Arabidopsis thaliana: one gene and its partners. The protein of the gene in region 3 purifies or fractionates together with the protein of the main gene of each other region. This does not show direct contact. Each region holds a gene or a part of one and is shown on either strand. Other genes may lie near its edges. The genes, in order: AT5G40810, AT3G27240 and MPPalpha.

Region 1 (6,070 bases), on a different chromosome or scaffold from region 3:
TGATTGGCTTATTGCTCTTTATTAATATGAGATTTATAAGTATATGATAAAATTAGGTGTATGGGTCCCATGATCAGGCTAAAACAGCATCTGGTGTTTTTTACCACATTTCAAGACTCTTGTATGGTCCTTCTTTGTCCTCCCAACCAACCAAATTGCATGAAGTGTCCTCCATTTCAAAATTGAAAAAACTGGCATGTCAGGGCACATTTGGAAATATATACATGTGTATATATTGTGTCTCTATTTATGGAAGTGTAAAGCAATGACCCATAAGGTCTTCTCATTGTCCTATGGTCGGATCTATGTACTTATGTAGCTCCGGTTCTAGGGATGTGCTCTCATTCTATAGCTAAAGTCATCTTGGTGTGGTTTTGGGTGTGTTAATCATTTAGGTTCGGTTAGAACATTTCACGGAATAAACCTATCATTTGCATTTGATATCTATGAAAAACATTTCACGGAATAAACCTATCATACGTATCTTTCATTACCTTTACATAATACATCACACAAAAGCATAAGTATTCTTTCACCTTGTCATTTTTTTTTGGGATAAATTCTATCGGTAAAAACATACTGAAATACGCTAGAGTGGATTCTTTTCACTTGTCATAAAACCCAATAAAAATCATATTTATTATTTTATTATTATTTAAGTTCGTTTCTTAACATAATACATTACCACTATCTAATACCTCATATAAAATTAGATTTAAAATCCTATAAACACACACTAAATTCTGAAAGAAATAATGTTAGGTTGTTTAATTTCTTTTTTTTGTTTGTCAAATCAGATATATTGATATAAAACAAGGTTACAAAATATATAAACATTATAATACAATTATTATACGCAAATACAAAAATTTGATACAATTTTGATAAAGGAGTGAAAGTAACCCGACATTACAAGCAAATAGGCGTTGGTCATGATACATAAATATTTTTTAATTATAAGAAAATTACTATTATTTTAAAATCACAAATTTTAAACTGTATATTTTCTTAATTAGGCACTGATGAACAATTCGTGATACAATGTGGAAACATGTCTCAAATCGAAACCCTTATTTGATATGTTATTAAGATACCTGCTGGGGAGGTGCCTCATCCCAAAATAAACTAAATTAATTAACATTCATTTAGGTAGAAAAATTACTATAATGACATACTTAATCATATAATTATACTTTTCCTTCATACCACCAATAAAAGCAGATCGCTATCTAGCTCTTAGACAAGATAATAGCATAGCTTTTAATTTTGATAAAGCTGAATGGTCCTTGTAGATAAAGTTAAGAGAAGAATATGTTTTTTTTTTTACAAAGGCTTGTTTTCATTCATTCACATAAAAACAAGTACAAGAAGGAGTGATTCAAAGATCACAAAGTTTAAAACATAATTAAAGGAGGTATTCCCCAAAGCCAAAACATAATAGAGGCATTTCTCTAAGACACGAAAGGAAATGCATAGCATTCAAACCGACTCATATTAAATCATCTCTCATAAATGAAAAACTACTTCCACTTGAGACACTAAAGGACTCACCAATCAACATATTAAGAAAGTTACTGTTTCGTGGCTTGAAAATATGTAGAAAAGCTTCCAGGACGATGTCTCATTCATTAATTTTCTGATGATTCCAAATTCGTTTTCCGAACCACAACTTATGATTGCAAAAACCTAATGATTCGGCTTGAGTTGAGTCATGATGAGAATTTCTCCTGCTTAATTAAAATTCTGTTTTTAGGTATAAGAGATTCTATTCAGCAAAGATATTCAAGATGAGTAACAGATATTAAACATACCATGAACATTCACAAACCTGTGGGAATTAATATATGAACTTACCTAGCAAAAGCGAACATGTAATTTCTCATTTACATTTTCCCGTACTATGTAAAATTGAAACACATTTTCAAGTTTAAGGAAGATTATAATTTTGGAGTCGATGTAGTATCCCGAGAGCATACGAAACATATGTTGTATTTTCAAATTTGCGCCTCTCGATATTGAACTACAATAATGCATGTTAGATTCAAAGCAGCCTCGCTTTGGACCCTATAAAATGAGTTAATGCAAGCCATAATAATTTATCGATCGACATATTTACTAAACAAGCCAGAATGTGATCTCGATCTCAGCCTGTGTTAATCTTTTTGTAATTGAACATTCTGGACTAATGAACTCTTCACTATTGAAAAAAACAACAACACATAGATCATTTACACAAAGTCTCCCTTTACTAAATTTCAAGATTTGGTCCATTTATTCCAATGAGAAATATTCCAGATATTTTTTTTGGCTGTTGACTGTACGGATAGGCCCTTAATGGGCTTTTAATGGATTAAATTAGGCCCATGATACTTGAAAAATCTGAAAGGTGTTGTTGTGTTGTGTGTGACAGTCCAGTCGCGTCATCCGGAGACATCCATTTTCTCTGGTAGCTGTTTACTTCTTCTTCTTCTTCTTCTTCTTCTTCCTCCTCCTCTGTTCGTCAATCGCCGATCTCGTTGCTTCATTTTCCTGTGAGTATTTTCTCGATTCGACACATCTCATATCCGAATCTGCCATTTCTTCATTCAATTTTGTTTATTTGTTGGAACTTCGGATCTATATAGAGAATCGAGTTTTCTAGGGCTTACTCATTGTTTCGGGTATATGTAATGGCTGAGAATCTTCTCTGTTTGTATCAGTGAGATCGATTGGTACAAGTGTTCATCCAATGGTTGGAGGAGGAGTTATCCGGCAGCTTCTTAGAAGGAAACTTCATTCCCAATCAGTCGTGAGCTTTTTCCCTGTTACATCTTTTTGATTTTCTGCTGTAGCTTAGGATCTGTTTGAAGATAGAATCATATGATTTGTTTTGGTTCTGTCTACACCTTCATTGCTCTGAGAGATTGTCCTTGAAGAATTGTAACTGGAATTGTTGTGGCGTTGGAGATTTTGGGATATAAGAAACTTAGACTTATTGATTTGTGCTTCGAGAGTATGATTAATATTCGATTTCTTTTCAGAAAAAGTAGTCTTTTGATTTGTTGAGCATACACCTTCTTGTGTCTTGGCCTTTTTTTTTGTTTTCTTACTGTTGTTCTGTATTATCTACCACCATAGGCAACTCCGGTATTGTCATGGTTGTCTTCGAAGAAAGCGAATGAAGATGCTGGGTCTGCTGGTTTAAGAGCATTTGCTCTCATGGGTGCTGGTATTACCGGATTATTGAGTTTTTCTACTGTTGCATCTGCTGATGAGGCTGAACATGGTCTGGAGTGTCCTAACTACCCTTGGCCACATGAGGGCATTCTCAGCTCATATGACCATGCTTCGTGAGTGTTCAAGCTACAATTCAATCATCATAGTGAAATTGCAACACTAAAGTTGAAAATTAGAGAAATTTGAGACTGCTTTACTGACGGTTGATTTGTAATGAGCAGGATCCGTCGTGGTCACCAAGTTTATCAGCAAGTTTGTGCGTCTTGCCATTCGATGTCTCTGATCTCATACCGAGACTTGGTGGGTGTTGCCTACACAGAGGAAGAGGCGAAGGCCATGGCAGCTGAAATCGAGGTTGTTGATGGACCAAATGATGAGGGTGAGATGTTCACCCGACCTGGTAAACTCAGTGATCGGCTTCCTGAACCATACTCAAATGAATCGGCTGCTAGGTTCGCCAATGGAGGAGCGTATCCACCGGATCTAAGTCTTGTAACTAAGGTTTGGTGCTCTTTCTCTCCATTTGTATACAATTAGAAAATTCATCTACTATGATCTAAGCAATTTGGCTATTTTCTTCCAGGCACGTCACAATGGCCAAAATTATGTCTTTGCTCTGTTGACTGGTTATCGTGATCCTCCTGCTGGAATTTCGGTAAATTTCTCTCCTATTTTTGCTTTAGACTTGTTATTACAACTTCAAATTGTTGGAAGTTAGAAATAATCCTGTGACTAACGGGTACAGATCAGAGAGGGGCTACACTACAATCCTTATTTCCCTGGTGGAGCAATCGCTATGCCAAAAATGCTCAACGATGAAGCTGTGGAATATGAAGATGGAACTCCTGCAACAGAAGCACAGGTTAGTTTTCCTCTGCTTAAGAAAATAATTTGCAGACCATAAAGTTTTATCAGATTTGACCTTTCCTCTGAGTCAATTATATAATCTTTAATTTTTCTTTTTTTAAAAAACATGATGCAGATGGGTAAAGATGTTGTATCCTTCTTGTCCTGGGCAGCTGAACCAGAGATGGAAGAGAGGAAATTGGTAAGTTTCTTAGTTTCATATATTCCATGTTTTAAGCTGTCGTTTCCATATGTACGAGATTGCAATAGGAATATCAATCTGGATTCTGATTATTTGATTTTCAGATTCAGTTTGAGAAAATTGTTACCAAACTTAAACCGGCATAGTATAGATTGGTTTTGGATGTAGAAAAAGTATCGCCATTTTATCCGTGTTAAGATTTCCTTGGTTCTGTCTTCTGTATAGCGGGATGAACACACCTAGTTGCATAGTTGTGTTGAACACACCTAGTTGCATAGTTGTGTTGACCACACTACTGCTTGTTTCTTGAGGCTGCTAATCTCAGACCAAAACTATTATCAAACATGAACCGTATTGTTACTCTGTATTCAAAACCGTCATGTTGGTTCTAAACCGACCCAAAAAAACCCGCTATACCGAGAATCCAACTCTTTGTGCTTAGATATCTGTTAACGTTGGTTGTATGTGTGTGCAGATGGGGTTCAAATGGATATTCTTACTGTCTTTGGCTCTGCTTCAAGCTGCGTATTACAGGAGACTGAAATGGTCAGTACTCAAATCCCGTAAGCTTGTTCTCGACGTTGTTAACTAATCCCGTGAAGATCACCTTTTCTCTGGGTAATAATCATTAATCTTGAAAGGGATAAATGGTGAATCCCACTTTTTGTCTCAAAAGACATGTTTCTTTGTTTATTGTTTAGAAAGTCTAATGAGGCAAAGAAGTAAAGCTTTTTTAACCTCAAGTCACACATGATTTTGAGATTATATTATTTCTTTTTGGTTTGTTGTCTCCTAAACCGGACTCGGTTTGTCTTAATAAAAATGTGGTTTTACAATCTCTCTCCTATTTGTATATCACAAAACATGATTTTGTAACTATTAAAGTTAAAAAGTTAAAATCTGTGGTCTATTTCTGATAGACCAAAACTCCACAGAACAACCAATTTACCTCTGTTGCGAACTCGATTTTGTAAAACTTAGAAAAATGTAGGCAGGATTTAGACCCGTTAATGTAAAACCAGTTCCGTTAAGACATTACCAAACAAAATTGCACAATCCTACAGACAATGAAACAAACATGCAGGATCGGACAAAACCTCAAAATACAAGTCCACACTTTTAATTGTCCCTTGGAATCAATATTTATAAAAATGTAATGAGCTCAAATTTTTATAACCTATGAAAAGATCAAAATCTTGATTAAAAAGAAGAAAAAAACCAATCAAATCCTGGCAGGCTTCTGCAGAACAGCCGAGAGAAAAACCTCAGCATCAGTTTTCTCTCCAACAACCCATTTCAACTTCTTATACCCAAACCTCTCTATCAAACGCGTAAGAACTCTCTTCTTCTCATCATTACCGCAATAGAAATTGTCTAACTAGAACAATCCACCGGGTTTCAAGATCCGATCAAGATCAAACATCAAGAACTCTAGCTTCTCGGGTTTACTACTAACCGCTAAATCCAATCCGTTAGAAGCATGAATGAGATCAAAAACATTGTCATAGAACGGGAATCTCTAATCCAAACTCCCTCTGAACAACGGAAAAATCCCTCTTGTAGCTATGAATTCGCTGAAAGGAGCATCTATATTTAATGTAATACCGATAATATTCAGATTCTTTTCAGCCATTCTAGCAGCAAACGTGCCTGATCCGCTGCTAATATCGAATCCGATTCGGATTTTCCCATCGCCTAAACCCAAACATCATCTATCAGGAAATCAGTCTTCACTTTAACCTTAACAAACCTATCTTTCTCATGACCAGAGCTAGATCAAAGCAACCAACAAAATCCCGGCTCAGT
Region 2 (6,082 bases), 4.5 Mb from region 3:
CATTGTTTTTAATACCATACACAAAACTATTATGACTACAAACAAAAAAAAATATAGAATGGAAGGGATAGAACAATCGTTTTGAATTTAAATCAACATCCACGTACATTTAATTTAAACAACGAAAGCATTAATTGTTTTTTTTACCTTGCATATGCCATACAAAAATTACGGATAATCCGGATTATAAGTTTATAATACGATGACCAGGAACTATTAGATTAGCAAGAGCATGGATGGACTCAACAAGAGTAAATATAAAATTATGGTCACTTAATTAACTTTAAAAATATTTTTTGTTGATTAGCAAAATGTATGGTCCAACACATAATATACAGTATTAAATTTTGACGGCCGGCAACTATAGGCGAAGAAACACACACGTTGTTGAATAGAAGCAATGTGAATATATCTTTACCCACATAGATGCATACACATAGGTCCATATGATAAGTTAAATGGTATGTTTATTTCCCCAATTTTCTTTTATTTTTAGTTGAGATTTTTATATTATATGAACGCATGGGTCCTACGTAAACACACAATATGCTGTTTCACCTTATTCGAAGGCTCTTATTGGTCCTCGTAATCTCCGACCAATCAAATTGCACTATGTGTCCTCCATTTCTCACTTGAAAAGCTGTTATGTCATGACTCATCAAACATTCATACTTACATATGCATGTCTACGTTGAGCACGAAAAAAGAAGAAGGAATTATGCGCATCATTAGCATGCCGATATATGTGAGTAAACGAATAAGAAATGTTAGCGATCTAATGATATTTGCAGACATAATATAGTTGTTAAAAAAAAGAAAAAGACTAATGTATTAATTAATTGTTAAATAAAACAAGCAAAAACTGAAACGAGTAGAGTTTTTATTTTTTAATAGATTTTATCAAAAAAAAAAGACTGCGTCTGCATGGAGTAATTAATACTGCGTTGAATTATAATTTTGTTTAGGTGTTTTGAATAGTTTTTTTTAATCTATATTTTCACAACAACTTTTGTTAATATAGTCCAGATGGATGCCACATAACAAAAGGTTTTTTTCTAGTAACAAAACAGGATTAGTAACTAGGCATACACTGATACACATTCGGTTCGGTTCAATTCTTCGGGTTTTGGGTTATTCGTTTTTAGCTTTTTAGCATCCATAAGGAAACCGAATGTTTTTCAGTTCAGTTAGTCTTCTTTCTTTGTTTTGTGTTACAAATTAAGCGAGCAAGTTAGCTCTCCAGTTTATAATCTCTCTTTGTTGTCACTTTTTGGTATGTAACTTACTAACTTGTGTTGTTGTCATATGAAGAGAAGAATGGGGGACCAAGGATGAAGGTAAGGTTCGGTTCTTTGAGTATTTTGGTTTCTTTTTGGGTACTTCAAGTAAAAATATATAAACCGTAAAAATATCCAAACCTTTGGAGGCTGCTGGTGATGCTTTAATTTATTCCAAATTGTTGAAATATTGTTGAAAACATAGTTTAAAACAAGTATTTCTAGGTCTTGTGGTACATAAAGTGTTCCAGGGATTTTTTCTCGCTGAAGTTCGATGTTTTGGGAAAAAGAGAGTACAAAGCTTGGTTCCCGCAGTTAAGGGCCATTTGACCGTGAGTCTTAGTATTATTTTCCTTTGTGATTGTGGTAGATTGCTTGTTTGTTCTTTTTAAAATTTCTCTCTGACTTTTTGTCGGATATGCGAGACATATGTTTAGTAGATGAAGCATAGTTTCTGACTCGGTCGATGGTTAAGTTACTTAACTTAAGTATGATTCCACTTGATAGTAAAATGTGATTATTCCAGCTAATCACGCATATCACATCAGAATGATTAATGGTCCTTAGATCAAAAATTATCCACAGTTGTAATTAACATCTCATTATCAAGATCATATATTAATAGCACAAGTGATTAGAAGTGAAGCTTCCTCCTAAGAAGTTTCAAAAGTTGTGATTGCCAAAACTTTTTTTAAAGCAAAATCGTGTTTTCAAATTTTCACTGTTTGTTTATATATATAATATGAAATGATTAGACCATTAAGCCAGTTTGAAGTACAAACATTGTCACTAGTATGATAATTCAAACATTTTTTTAATTATCTCCATATTGATTTTTTAAAATCCAACCAAGTCTACTTCTGGTGATGTATGATCCTAAAGTCATATGTTTTACGTTGCATTCGGAAGATTTTTCTTCTCAAAGATAATAAAGATCCACCAAGCTTTTAAACTTTTCAAGTGTTATCTACTTCGACATTTTCTGGGCTCAAGCAGTACGTTGTTGGCCCATTAAGGCCCAAATAAGTAAAACTGTGGTCGTGTGTCTAGCAGCCGCTGTGTCATCGTGGAACTCCCATTTTCTCTCTTTTACTTGTTCGTTCCCAAACTCTTCTCCCTCGATCGTCTCCGTCGCCGATCTCGTTTCTTCATTTTCCGGTGAGATTCTCTCTCTATTTCTCTGTATATCTCGTATTCGAAACCTTCGTTTTCTTCTTTGACATTTGATTGATCAGAGTTATCTATATTCGTCGGATCTGTGTAGACTCAAATTTTCTAGGGCTTGTTCGCTTTTGTTTATTCGTATACGTGTTGTGAAATCGCATTTTCACTGAATCAGTATTCTGATTCAATTTCTTTGTTTCTTCAGCGTGTTGATTGGTACAAAGGTTTAATCAAATGGTTGGAGGAGGAGTTATCCAGCAAATTCTTAGGAGGAAGCTTCACTCCCAATCACTTGTGAGATTTTTTCCAGTCTTAATTTTACATTCTCTTCATTTCTATTTTGATTTACGATTTCAGCTTGGGATCTGTTTTTAAGACATTTTTTTCGGTTCTGTGGTTAAAGATTTGTGTTTTGTGACACTGATGCTCATTAGCTAATGATTTCTTTGTGAAATTTTTCATTTTTTGGAACATAAGACAGGAGACAATGATTTATGTATAGCTTCTGCTTCAATGTCAAATCCTAGTAGAATAGTAGAATGCAGCAATCTTTTGAAAGTCCATTTGGTTAGCATATAACTGAGTTGGTTTGCGGCGAAGTTTTGACTGAGCATTGGTTTTGTGTTATCCTGCAGGCAACTCCGGTTTTGTCTTGGTTTTCTTCGAAGAAAGCTCATGAGGATGCTGGTTCTTCTGGTGTAAGAGCACTTGCCTTGTTGGGTGCTGGTGTTACAGGACTGTTGAGTTTTTCTACAGTAGCATCTGCTGATGAGGCTGAACATGGATTGGAGAGTCCAGAGTACCCTTGGCCTCATGATGGCATTCTTAGCTCATATGACCATGCTTCGTGAGTATTGTCACCACTCTCTCATCTTCTTGTCTGGTTAATAGCATCATTTTATCATTTTCTTATAGATTTTTTTTTGCTTTTATAAGTTAACGTCCTTTCAAGCAATTTTTCAATGAAAAAGGAAATTTTCTTAGAATTGTAAATTTCTTTGAATCAAAAAGTCTATCATGCGTGAATCAAGCGTTTGTATGAGTCTTTGTATAGAAGGAAAAGAAATCATACATAAAATAAGGGGCTTGTTGCTGCCTTTTTTTAATAAAACGATTCAAGATCACCGAAGTCATGTCTAAACCTAAAGAAAGTGACTATCCTGCTACCCTAATATTAGACTGTGAAACTTCAGTGAAATTTTTGTACTGTATGAATTATTGAAAGGTTGATGTTGTATGAGCAGGATCCGTCGTGGGCATCAAGTTTATCAGCAAGTCTGTGCATCATGCCATTCAATGTCTCTGATCTCATACCGAGACTTGGTGGGTGTCGCCTACACAGAGGAAGAGGCAAAGGCAATGGCAGCTGAAATCGAGGTAGTAGATGGACCTAATGATGAGGGTGAGATGTTCACCCGCCCTGGTAAACTCAGTGACCGGTTTCCTCAGCCATATGCAAATGAATCAGCTGCAAGGTTTGCTAATGGTGGAGCGTATCCTCCTGATCTAAGTCTTATAACTAAGGTCTGCTGCTGCTACTTTACTTTAACTGAACATCTGTAGCAAACTTGTGTTTTGTGTTTTAAATAGTTTTAATGTTCTGCCTTCCAGGCACGTCACAATGGTCCAAACTATGTCTTTGCGCTTCTGACTGGTTACCGTGATCCCCCTGCTGGCATATCGGTAAGTTTCTCTCATTTTCCACATTGAACTTCTTCGAATTCAAAGTGCTGGTTATGAAAAATCCGATGATAACTGTACAGATTAGAGAGGGGTTACACTACAATCCTTATTTCCCTGGGGGAGCAATTGCTATGCCGAAAATGCTCAATGATGAAGCTGTTGAGTATGAAGATGGTGTCCCCGCCACAGAGGCACAGGTTATTTTTCCTCCACTTAAAATATAAGAACATAAATCTTTATGCCTTATGGTACTGTCCTTTCTCAGTGTCATGATATAAACTTTACTTTACGGTGCAGATGGGTAAAGATATTGTATCATTCTTGGCCTGGGCAGCTGAACCAGAAATGGAAGAGAGGAAACTGGTAGGTTTATCTTTCTCTGTTCGCTGGTGAACATTGTATTTTCTCCCTAGACTATGCAATTAATACTAGATTTAGTTTATGATCGATCAAGTTGACTTAGAGAACCAATTGTTGTACCAAGTGTGAAGTGCTACTAGTTCTTGGTCTGCTACTAAGATAATAACATTTAGATATGCTGTGAACACAGTTTGACTCGTTTTGCAGACACAAACCTCAGCTTCCAGACCGATACAAAGAATTGACTTTTTTTTGAGGTTACATTTTACATGGCGGTTAATGTTGGTTTCACTATTTGCAGATGGGTTTCAAATGGATATTCCTACTCTCTCTCGCTCTTCTCCAAGCTGCTTACTACAGGCGACTAAAATGGTCGGTTCTCAAGTCCCGCAAGCTGGTTCTTGACGTGGTTAACTAAAGCGCCGCTGAAAAGCTTTTGCATTGGCCTGGCCACACACAGTCGTATTTTCAACAAAGGATGTTAAATAGAGAAGAGCCTTTCTCTGGGTAATAACGTATCATCATTTTTATGTGTCATAAAAATCTTTGATGAGACCAGTTCTCACCTGAAGGTGAAAAGACCTCATCGTTCTTCTTTTTCCTTCGATTATTACTAGAGAGTTTTATGAGGATAATCACGAAAACTTGTTTTTTTCGCCTCATAATAATCACACATGATTTTGAGATTATATCATTTGTTATGTTTTTCCTCTTGTCTCAATAAAAAATAACTTTGTACTCTGATTTTGTTGTCTATTTTCGGCATTTCTTGCATCTGGCTTTGGTTGCATGAGGAGAATTTATTTCAGGTATAACAAAAACACAATTAATGGTACTCATTTTTATTTGTATGGTATATATGGATATTATAACAGAAAAGTAGTAATAATAATCGACAAAATTTCAACACATTATACTGAAAAACTTTTACAAATGATTTTCTCCAATTGCCCTGGTAAATATATAATTGCTTATTCTTCTTCTCTGGAATAAATATCACCTAATGACCTCCAAATTTATAACCTATGATCAAATGTAACTATAAATAGAGAGTTTTACTCTTATGGTCGGTCTTACCATTACGAACTTCCTTTTGCATTCCCGATCAAGCTCTCACTGGCTTTTGCAGAACAGCTGAGAGATAAACTTGTGCATCAGCCTTCTCTCCAATAACCCATTTAAGCTTCTTATACCCAAACCTCTCAATCATACGTGTAAGTTCTTTCTTCTTCTCATCATTAGCACAATAGAAGTTATCCAACCAGAACAATCCACGGGGTTTCAAAACCCGATCAAGATCGAACATCAAGAACTCTAGCTTCTCCGCTTTACCCTCAACATCTAATCCGCTAGAAGCATGAATAAGATCAAACACATTGTCAAGAAAAGGAAATCTATGGTCTAAGCTCAAGAACAACGGAAAGAGCCCTCTCGCAGCTATAAACTCACTAAACGGAGCACCATTATTCAAAGTGTTAGTGATTACAGTCACGTTCTTCTCAGCCATTCTCGCTGCGAAAGTCCCTGATCCACCGCTAATATCGAACCCGATTCGAATTTTCCCACTTCCTAAACCCAACACATCATCAATCAAGAAA
Region 3 (6,097 bases):
AAGAAAGAAAAAAGGAGTACATTAAAGGGAAGGAAGAAACACCTTTGAGTGTGAGAAATGGAGATGAAGATGGAATATGAATGAGTTAATCTTGGGATTTTGTATATATACTATATAGTATATATAAAACATTTTTGAATACGAACATTAAATTCTCTTTTCATCCAATACTAACCACTTTTTTTTTCTGCCAATACTAACCACTTTTTCTTTTCTTTTTGAGAGACTTTATATTCAACCAACTCGTGCTTCACGAGGGATGGAAGCTTTGATTAGTTAGGACTTAGGAACTTGTATTAATCTAAATATCTTTTTTTTTTTAAAATTGAATCTACCTTACAACATAAAATTTGTAAAGAGAATTCCAAAATTCCAAAAAAAATCACCTAAAATTTTAAAATCGTGAAAGCAGCATCGTAAAGATGTTCTCTTCTGTTTTTTTTTTTTTTTTTTAACTCTCTTTTGAATATTGGATTAGAGATTTTCACAGTGTCGTAGATTCTTCGTAGAGTCTGTTATGAGTTGACATTTACCATAGGAATTGCATTATCGTGAGAAGGTTAAATGATAAATTGACATTTATAAATTCTCAAAATGTAGGTTATGAGTTGTCAAAGAAATGTAGGCTATGAAAAAAAAAACTTACGTCTAAAAAAATGCAAAGTTAAGAAAGAAATACTCAAAGTTCGTGGCATTTGACCATCTCTCAGCTACACCTCAAATTATAGCTCATGAGAATGGCCCATGAATATGATTGTGGCTCCGTTAATCACGTGGTATTAAAACTCACACACGACCATTTCTCATCTGCCTCCAATTATAGCGAAACCGTTACAACTCGTTGTTCACGTGAGCATCAAAATGTGCATTACTCCTTTCAAGTTCGGCAAATCCTAATTATCCATTTTAATGGACTGCAGAGACTTTAATTAGAGCTTATAGAACTTTAAACATTTTGGTTTAAATCTTAAAATAGAAATTTAACCAATCTCAAATGATTTTTTTTTCTTTTCTTTTGGCATAAGTTTCATAACTCGATGATGAATGCTACGATAATATAGACATACAGTATGATGATTAGATGAAAACAGATAAAGAAGAAAAAGTGTATCGTACGCCCCACTCGGTGATAATGATTAATGAGACTATATATGAGAGTACCCAAATATGATTTTTTCCACTCATGAATCGTATTGCACTATTTCTGCATTATTAAGATAGACCCACATTTAACATTAGACCAAAAAAAAAAAAAGATAGACCCACACCACCTGTTATAGTATTTAGTATTTTTACACATCCACTAAACGACGACAATTGACAAAATCACACAAACCTTTCTCCTTTATTCATTTTTGTTTAATTCGGGTCCCTTGCTTTTTAGCATTCGGCTCTCATTCTTATCTTCCCATGGATGGATAGTCATAGTTATATAATACAGTTCAATTGAAGTTATGCAGTATATATATGCACCACACACGAGTCTTCTATATATGTGGATACTACGTTTCAAAATAATTCTATTAACTTAGAGAAGATAAACTTTCTTAGTACTTTTTTCGTTTCACTTTACACACACCTCAAAAAAATTCTTGTTTCATTTGTGACTGCATGTAAATGTCGTTACCTTACTTGAATTTTTACACAATGGTACGTGAAAAAGAAAAGAAAAAAAATATAATTGAGAGAAAATATAATAGGATCACACCACTACAATACATGGGCTTTAAATTCATCTTTTCTATATGTTATAATTTGGGCCAAGACTATTATATCATATGGGCCTATCAATGTAATTAGAAGCAATTGCCCGATCCAATAACCTTAATTAGGAAAAAAAATCGTTCCCTTCTCTCGTTTCTTTTCAGCTCTGACTCGGCCTCTATCTCTCTCCCGTCGTCAGCCACATTCACCGGTACTCATCTGACCAAGCTAGGGTTTCGCAGTCATCATCATGTACCGTACGGCAGCTTCTCGAGCCAAGGCCCTTAAGGTCAATGTCCTACTTCACTTGTTTCCATTGAGATTCTGGTTTTTTTAGGAGAATGCTTAGTATTGAACAATTTGTATGATTCATTGTTTTTGGATTTGGATTAAAGGGTCTCTTAGATTCTTATAGATCTTGATTCAATTTTATCGCTTTATAGTAGCTGGTGCCATTATTCATGCTTTTTGCAGGTTTATGAAATGTCTCTGTTTCGAAAGTTCTTATTTTTACAATGTTAATTGAATCAAGAGATTAATGATGCTTAGGATGTGTGTGTGTGTGTGTGTGTTTATAGGGCATTCTAAACCACAATTTTCGAGCTTCTCGTTATGCAAGTTCTAGTGCTGTTGCAACGAGCTCTTCTTCCTCCAGCTGGCTAAGTGGAGGCTACTCTAGTTCACTTCCTTCTATGAACATTCCCTTGGCTGGTGTCTCTCTTCCACCACCACTCTCTGACCATGTTGAGCCTAGCAAACTTAAGACCACTACTCTTCCAAATGGTCTGACTATAGCCACTGAGATGTCTCCGGTGAGAGCTTCTTTTAGTAATCCCAACATCAACTTCCTGTTAAAAACTACTGGAAAGTGATTTTGAGTGAAATTTTGTTCAGAATCCAGCAGCTTCCATTGGTTTATACGTTGACTGTGGTTCTATTTATGAGACTCCTCAATTCCGTGGAGCGACGCACTTGCTTGAAAGGATGGCATTCAAGAGTACATTGAACAGAAGCCATTTTCGCCTTGTAAGGGAAATAGAGGCTATTGGAGGTAATACTTCAGCTTCTGCATCCCGAGAGCAGATGGGTTACACAATTGATGCTCTCAAAACCTATGTTCCCGAAATGGTTGAAGTGCTTATTGATAGTGTGAGGAACCCTGCTTTTTTGGATTGGGAAGTGAATGAAGAGGTACTTCATGTCATGTTGCATGTATCTCACAAACATTAAAGCTAAGCAATTTTTTTACACTGTTTTCATCATTTTTCTCCTGGCAGCTCCGAAAGGTGAAAGTAGAGATAGGAGAATTCGCAACGAATCCAATGGGTTTTCTTTTGGAGGCAGTTCATTCTGCTGGTTACTCTGGCGCATTGGCAAATCCATTGTATGCACCTGAATCTGCAATTACTGGATTGACTGGGGAGGTCTTGGAGAATTTTGTTTTTGTAAGACCGTTAACACAAGAGATTATTGCATTCGCTGGAACTAGTATCACTGGCTTTTGGTTTGTTATTTCGTAGATGTGTCTTTTTTCTCATTTTGTTCTGAAATTTCAGGAGAATTACACTGCTTCACGAATGGTCCTAGCAGCTAGTGGAGTTGATCATGAAGAACTTCTAAAAGTGGTTGAGCCATTACTATCTGACCTCCCTAATGTACCCCGACCTGCGGAGCCAAAGTCTCAATATGTCGGTGGAGATTTCCGTCAACATACGGGTGGAGAGGTACAAATATGACGTTTCAATGGGCTTCTTTGAGTAAAAGAAGGTTTATTATTCCTAATATCTTTCTTTTTTTGTTTCACCATTCTCAGGCTACACATTTTGCGCTTGCTTTTGAAGTGCCAGGATGGAATAACGAGAAGGAAGCTATCATTGCAACTGTTCTTCAGGTGCCTGACTCAAATACATTACTTGATCTTTCAAACGCAAAGACTTAATTGTGTAAAATCCAATTCTTATCAGATGCTTATGGGAGGAGGTGGCTCATTTTCTGCGGGAGGCCCTGGAAAAGGAATGCACTCTTGGCTCTGTAAGTCTCTGAATGTGTTCTCTTTCTACTTGCGGTTTTTCAACACTCATGTTTTAATGTAAGTTAGTTATTTGTTGGTCATGATGATGATGAGATTGGTTTCTTTATTGTCTGGATGCAGATCTTCGCCTTTTGAACCAACATCAGCAGTTTCAATCATGCACTGCATTCACTAGCGTCTTTAACAATACCGGATTGTTTGGAATCTATGGTTGCACGGTGAGTTTGCACCGATTTCTAGTTGTTGCTTATTAACGGTTTTTAGCACTTTGCAATGTGGGTTTGCTTACATTCTTTTGGCGTTGCAGAGTCCTGAATTTGCTTCACAGGGAATTGAATTAGTAGCTAGTGAAATGAACGCTGTTGCTGATGGAAAAGGTTTTCTATATATTTCATCCATTCTTTTTTAGAACCATTTATCAACTCATACAGACATATTATTTACTCTGGTGTACATGCTTTGGCAGTTAATCAGAAACATCTTGATCGCGCCAAAGCAGCAACAAAATCTGCGATTCTGATGAATCTGGAATCTCGGGTAGGTCACTTAAAAGTTCCACCTCTTTTTCTTAAGCCATGAGGGTGACTTTATAATGGAATTTAACTGTTTGTGTGATTTGCAGATGATTGCAGCAGAAGACATTGGTAGACAGATTCTTACTTACGGAGAGAGGTACATACACTTTGTAACATTCCACTTCTAAACTGATTATAACCAGACTTTTCTCTAACTGTTTTTTTTTTTGTTTTCCCAACATATCTGCAGGAAACCAGTAGACCAATTCTTGAAGACAGTAGACCAACTTACCTTAAAGGACATTGCAGATTTCACTAGCAAGGTTATCACAAAGCCTTTGACAATGGCAACTTTCGGAGACGGTAATGACAAAACCATCATCACAGTTTTACATCTTTTATAAAACGGCATTGCAAACTTAAATCCATTTTACTTATTCTAAAATCTTGTGTTGATTTTGGGACAGTGTTGAATGTTCCAAGCTATGACTCCGTAAGCAAAAGATTTCGCTGAAGAGTGAAGAAGTAAAAAAGATCTTTTTACATCATAAGATAGAGTTGGGACCTGTAGAATAAAGATAGCCTTTTTTTTGGAGATCCAACCAAATTTTTTGTTTCATCTATCTCTCAAGTTTCTGACCTAAGATAAGTCCATGAAAATGGTGACAAATTACGCCCATGTCTCCAATTTCGTTGTTGCGTATTTCTTCTCTTCGGTTAGTGAATAATGATTGATACGTTTACCAACTTTTTTCAGCTTCAATTTTTAAATTTCTTTCTTGTTAAAGAATGCTGGCAAACATAGGCATTAAAGATAGATAGAAGTCTACTACTACATAAAATATTTTCCAAATTATTAATTTTATGAACTCTTAAATGCTTTAATATTTTGTTAATAAAAGGATTATTGAATAAATGGATCTAAATAATAGAAACGACTCCATCAGACAAATAATTGCCTTAAAAGTATCTTAAACTCTCAACCAGATATAAGATAGATCCACAATAAATTACTACTAGAATTAGATCAATTTACCATAGTTATTTCGAAATGTGAAAGCATAATTTACATACACACTCCTAAAGTCTAAAATGAAGGTGTTATTTTTTTTTTGACAGCCTATGATGAAGGTGTTTAATCACAGAAAACCTTAATTAAAAAGGCTATTAGGGAATCTTTTTGGCGGATTACGAGGTAAATTAGAGCTTATCAAAAGCAGTTGATGTGTATTTTAATTATTTCTACTTTCAGAAGAACGAATATGATGACGTAAACACGTATCGGCATGAACCAATCATATTCCCTGGTGGTTTTTAAAAATGATTAGATATAGAAACATTACAAAAAGATTTTGAAAAATCACGATAATGATAACGTCATGTCGTACTTGTCTGACGCTACATGGATTCCAAATTTATTGCAAATTTCAACCTCATTTCGTCATCATAGTTACTTATTAATAATATCTTCCCTCGATTACTCGCATCTTTGAATTTCAAATTCTTCATAACCAATATCTAAATTCAAGTAATCTCTTACTATTGAAGAACATTATAATTTTGAAATATGGATAAGTTTCTTACTTCTCTTATGCGTAATCGACAAAAAGCATTCCACATGAAGAGGAAAAGAAGCAAATTTCACATTTTTTCCAAAGCAAAGCAATAATTTACAAAAAAAAAAAAAAAAGGAAAGTCATAAATGAAAAGTCAAAGGCTATGACGATATTTTCTTTAAGGACGAAAATAACGTTTTTTACTAATTATAGAATCTAAAATCAGTCTCGTTCTGACGAAACTGATGATCATACGAACAAGGAGAGCGTTTCTGTTGCTGCGTTTGCGT

What was found.
Region 1: the proteins of MPPalpha (region 3) and AT5G40810 fractionate together in Arabidopsis thaliana (co-fractionation; one large-scale study listed by BioGRID). This does not show direct contact.
Region 2: the proteins of MPPalpha (region 3) and AT3G27240 fractionate together in Arabidopsis thaliana (co-fractionation; one large-scale study listed by BioGRID). This does not show direct contact.

The regions. Positions count from the first base shown.
Region 1 is NC_003076.8:16,337,472-16,343,541, forward strand, and holds AT5G40810 (Cytochrome C1 family), read left to right. Parts: upstream 1-2,391; 5' UTR 2,392-2,531; intron 2,532-2,699; 5' UTR 2,700-2,728; coding exon 2,729-2,788; exon of another isoform or gene 2,789-3,117; coding exon 3,118-3,329; intron 3,330-3,437; coding exon 3,438-3,717; intron 3,718-3,799; coding exon 3,800-3,871; intron 3,872-3,961; coding exon 3,962-4,078; intron 4,079-4,198; coding exon 4,199-4,264; intron 4,265-4,739; coding exon 4,740-4,856; 3' UTR 4,857-5,456; downstream 5,457-6,070. UniProt on the Arabidopsis thaliana protein: Component of the ubiquinol-cytochrome c oxidoreductase, a multisubunit transmembrane complex that is part of the mitochondrial electron transport chain which drives oxidative phosphorylation.
Region 2 is NC_003074.8:10,054,964-10,061,045, reverse strand, and holds AT3G27240 (Cytochrome C1 family), read left to right. Parts: upstream 1-2,272; 5' UTR 2,273-2,435; intron 2,436-2,646; 5' UTR 2,647-2,675; coding exon 2,676-2,735; intron 2,736-3,076; coding exon 3,077-3,288; intron 3,289-3,685; coding exon 3,686-3,965; intron 3,966-4,052; coding exon 4,053-4,124; intron 4,125-4,204; coding exon 4,205-4,321; intron 4,322-4,421; coding exon 4,422-4,487; intron 4,488-4,785; coding exon 4,786-4,902; 3' UTR 4,903-5,316; downstream 5,317-6,082. Other genes in the region: AT3G27230 (S-adenosyl-L-methionine-dependent methyltransferases superfamily protein), read right to left, coding at 5,590-6,082. UniProt on the Arabidopsis thaliana protein: Component of the ubiquinol-cytochrome c oxidoreductase, a multisubunit transmembrane complex that is part of the mitochondrial electron transport chain which drives oxidative phosphorylation.
Region 3 is NC_003074.8:5,597,952-5,604,048, forward strand, and holds MPPalpha (mitochondrial processing peptidase alpha subunit), read left to right. Parts: upstream 1-1,758; 5' UTR 1,759-1,954; coding exon 1,955-1,993; intron 1,994-2,282; coding exon 2,283-2,516; intron 2,517-2,598; coding exon 2,599-2,895; intron 2,896-2,981; coding exon 2,982-3,149; intron 3,150-3,260; coding exon 3,261-3,428; intron 3,429-3,517; coding exon 3,518-3,595; intron 3,596-3,668; coding exon 3,669-3,735; intron 3,736-3,856; coding exon 3,857-3,954; intron 3,955-4,043; coding exon 4,044-4,113; intron 4,114-4,202; coding exon 4,203-4,273; intron 4,274-4,358; coding exon 4,359-4,408; intron 4,409-4,501; coding exon 4,502-4,614; intron 4,615-4,718; coding exon 4,719-4,765; 3' UTR 4,766-5,076; downstream 5,077-6,097. Other genes in the region: IQD26 (IQ-domain 26), read right to left, coding at 6,011-6,097.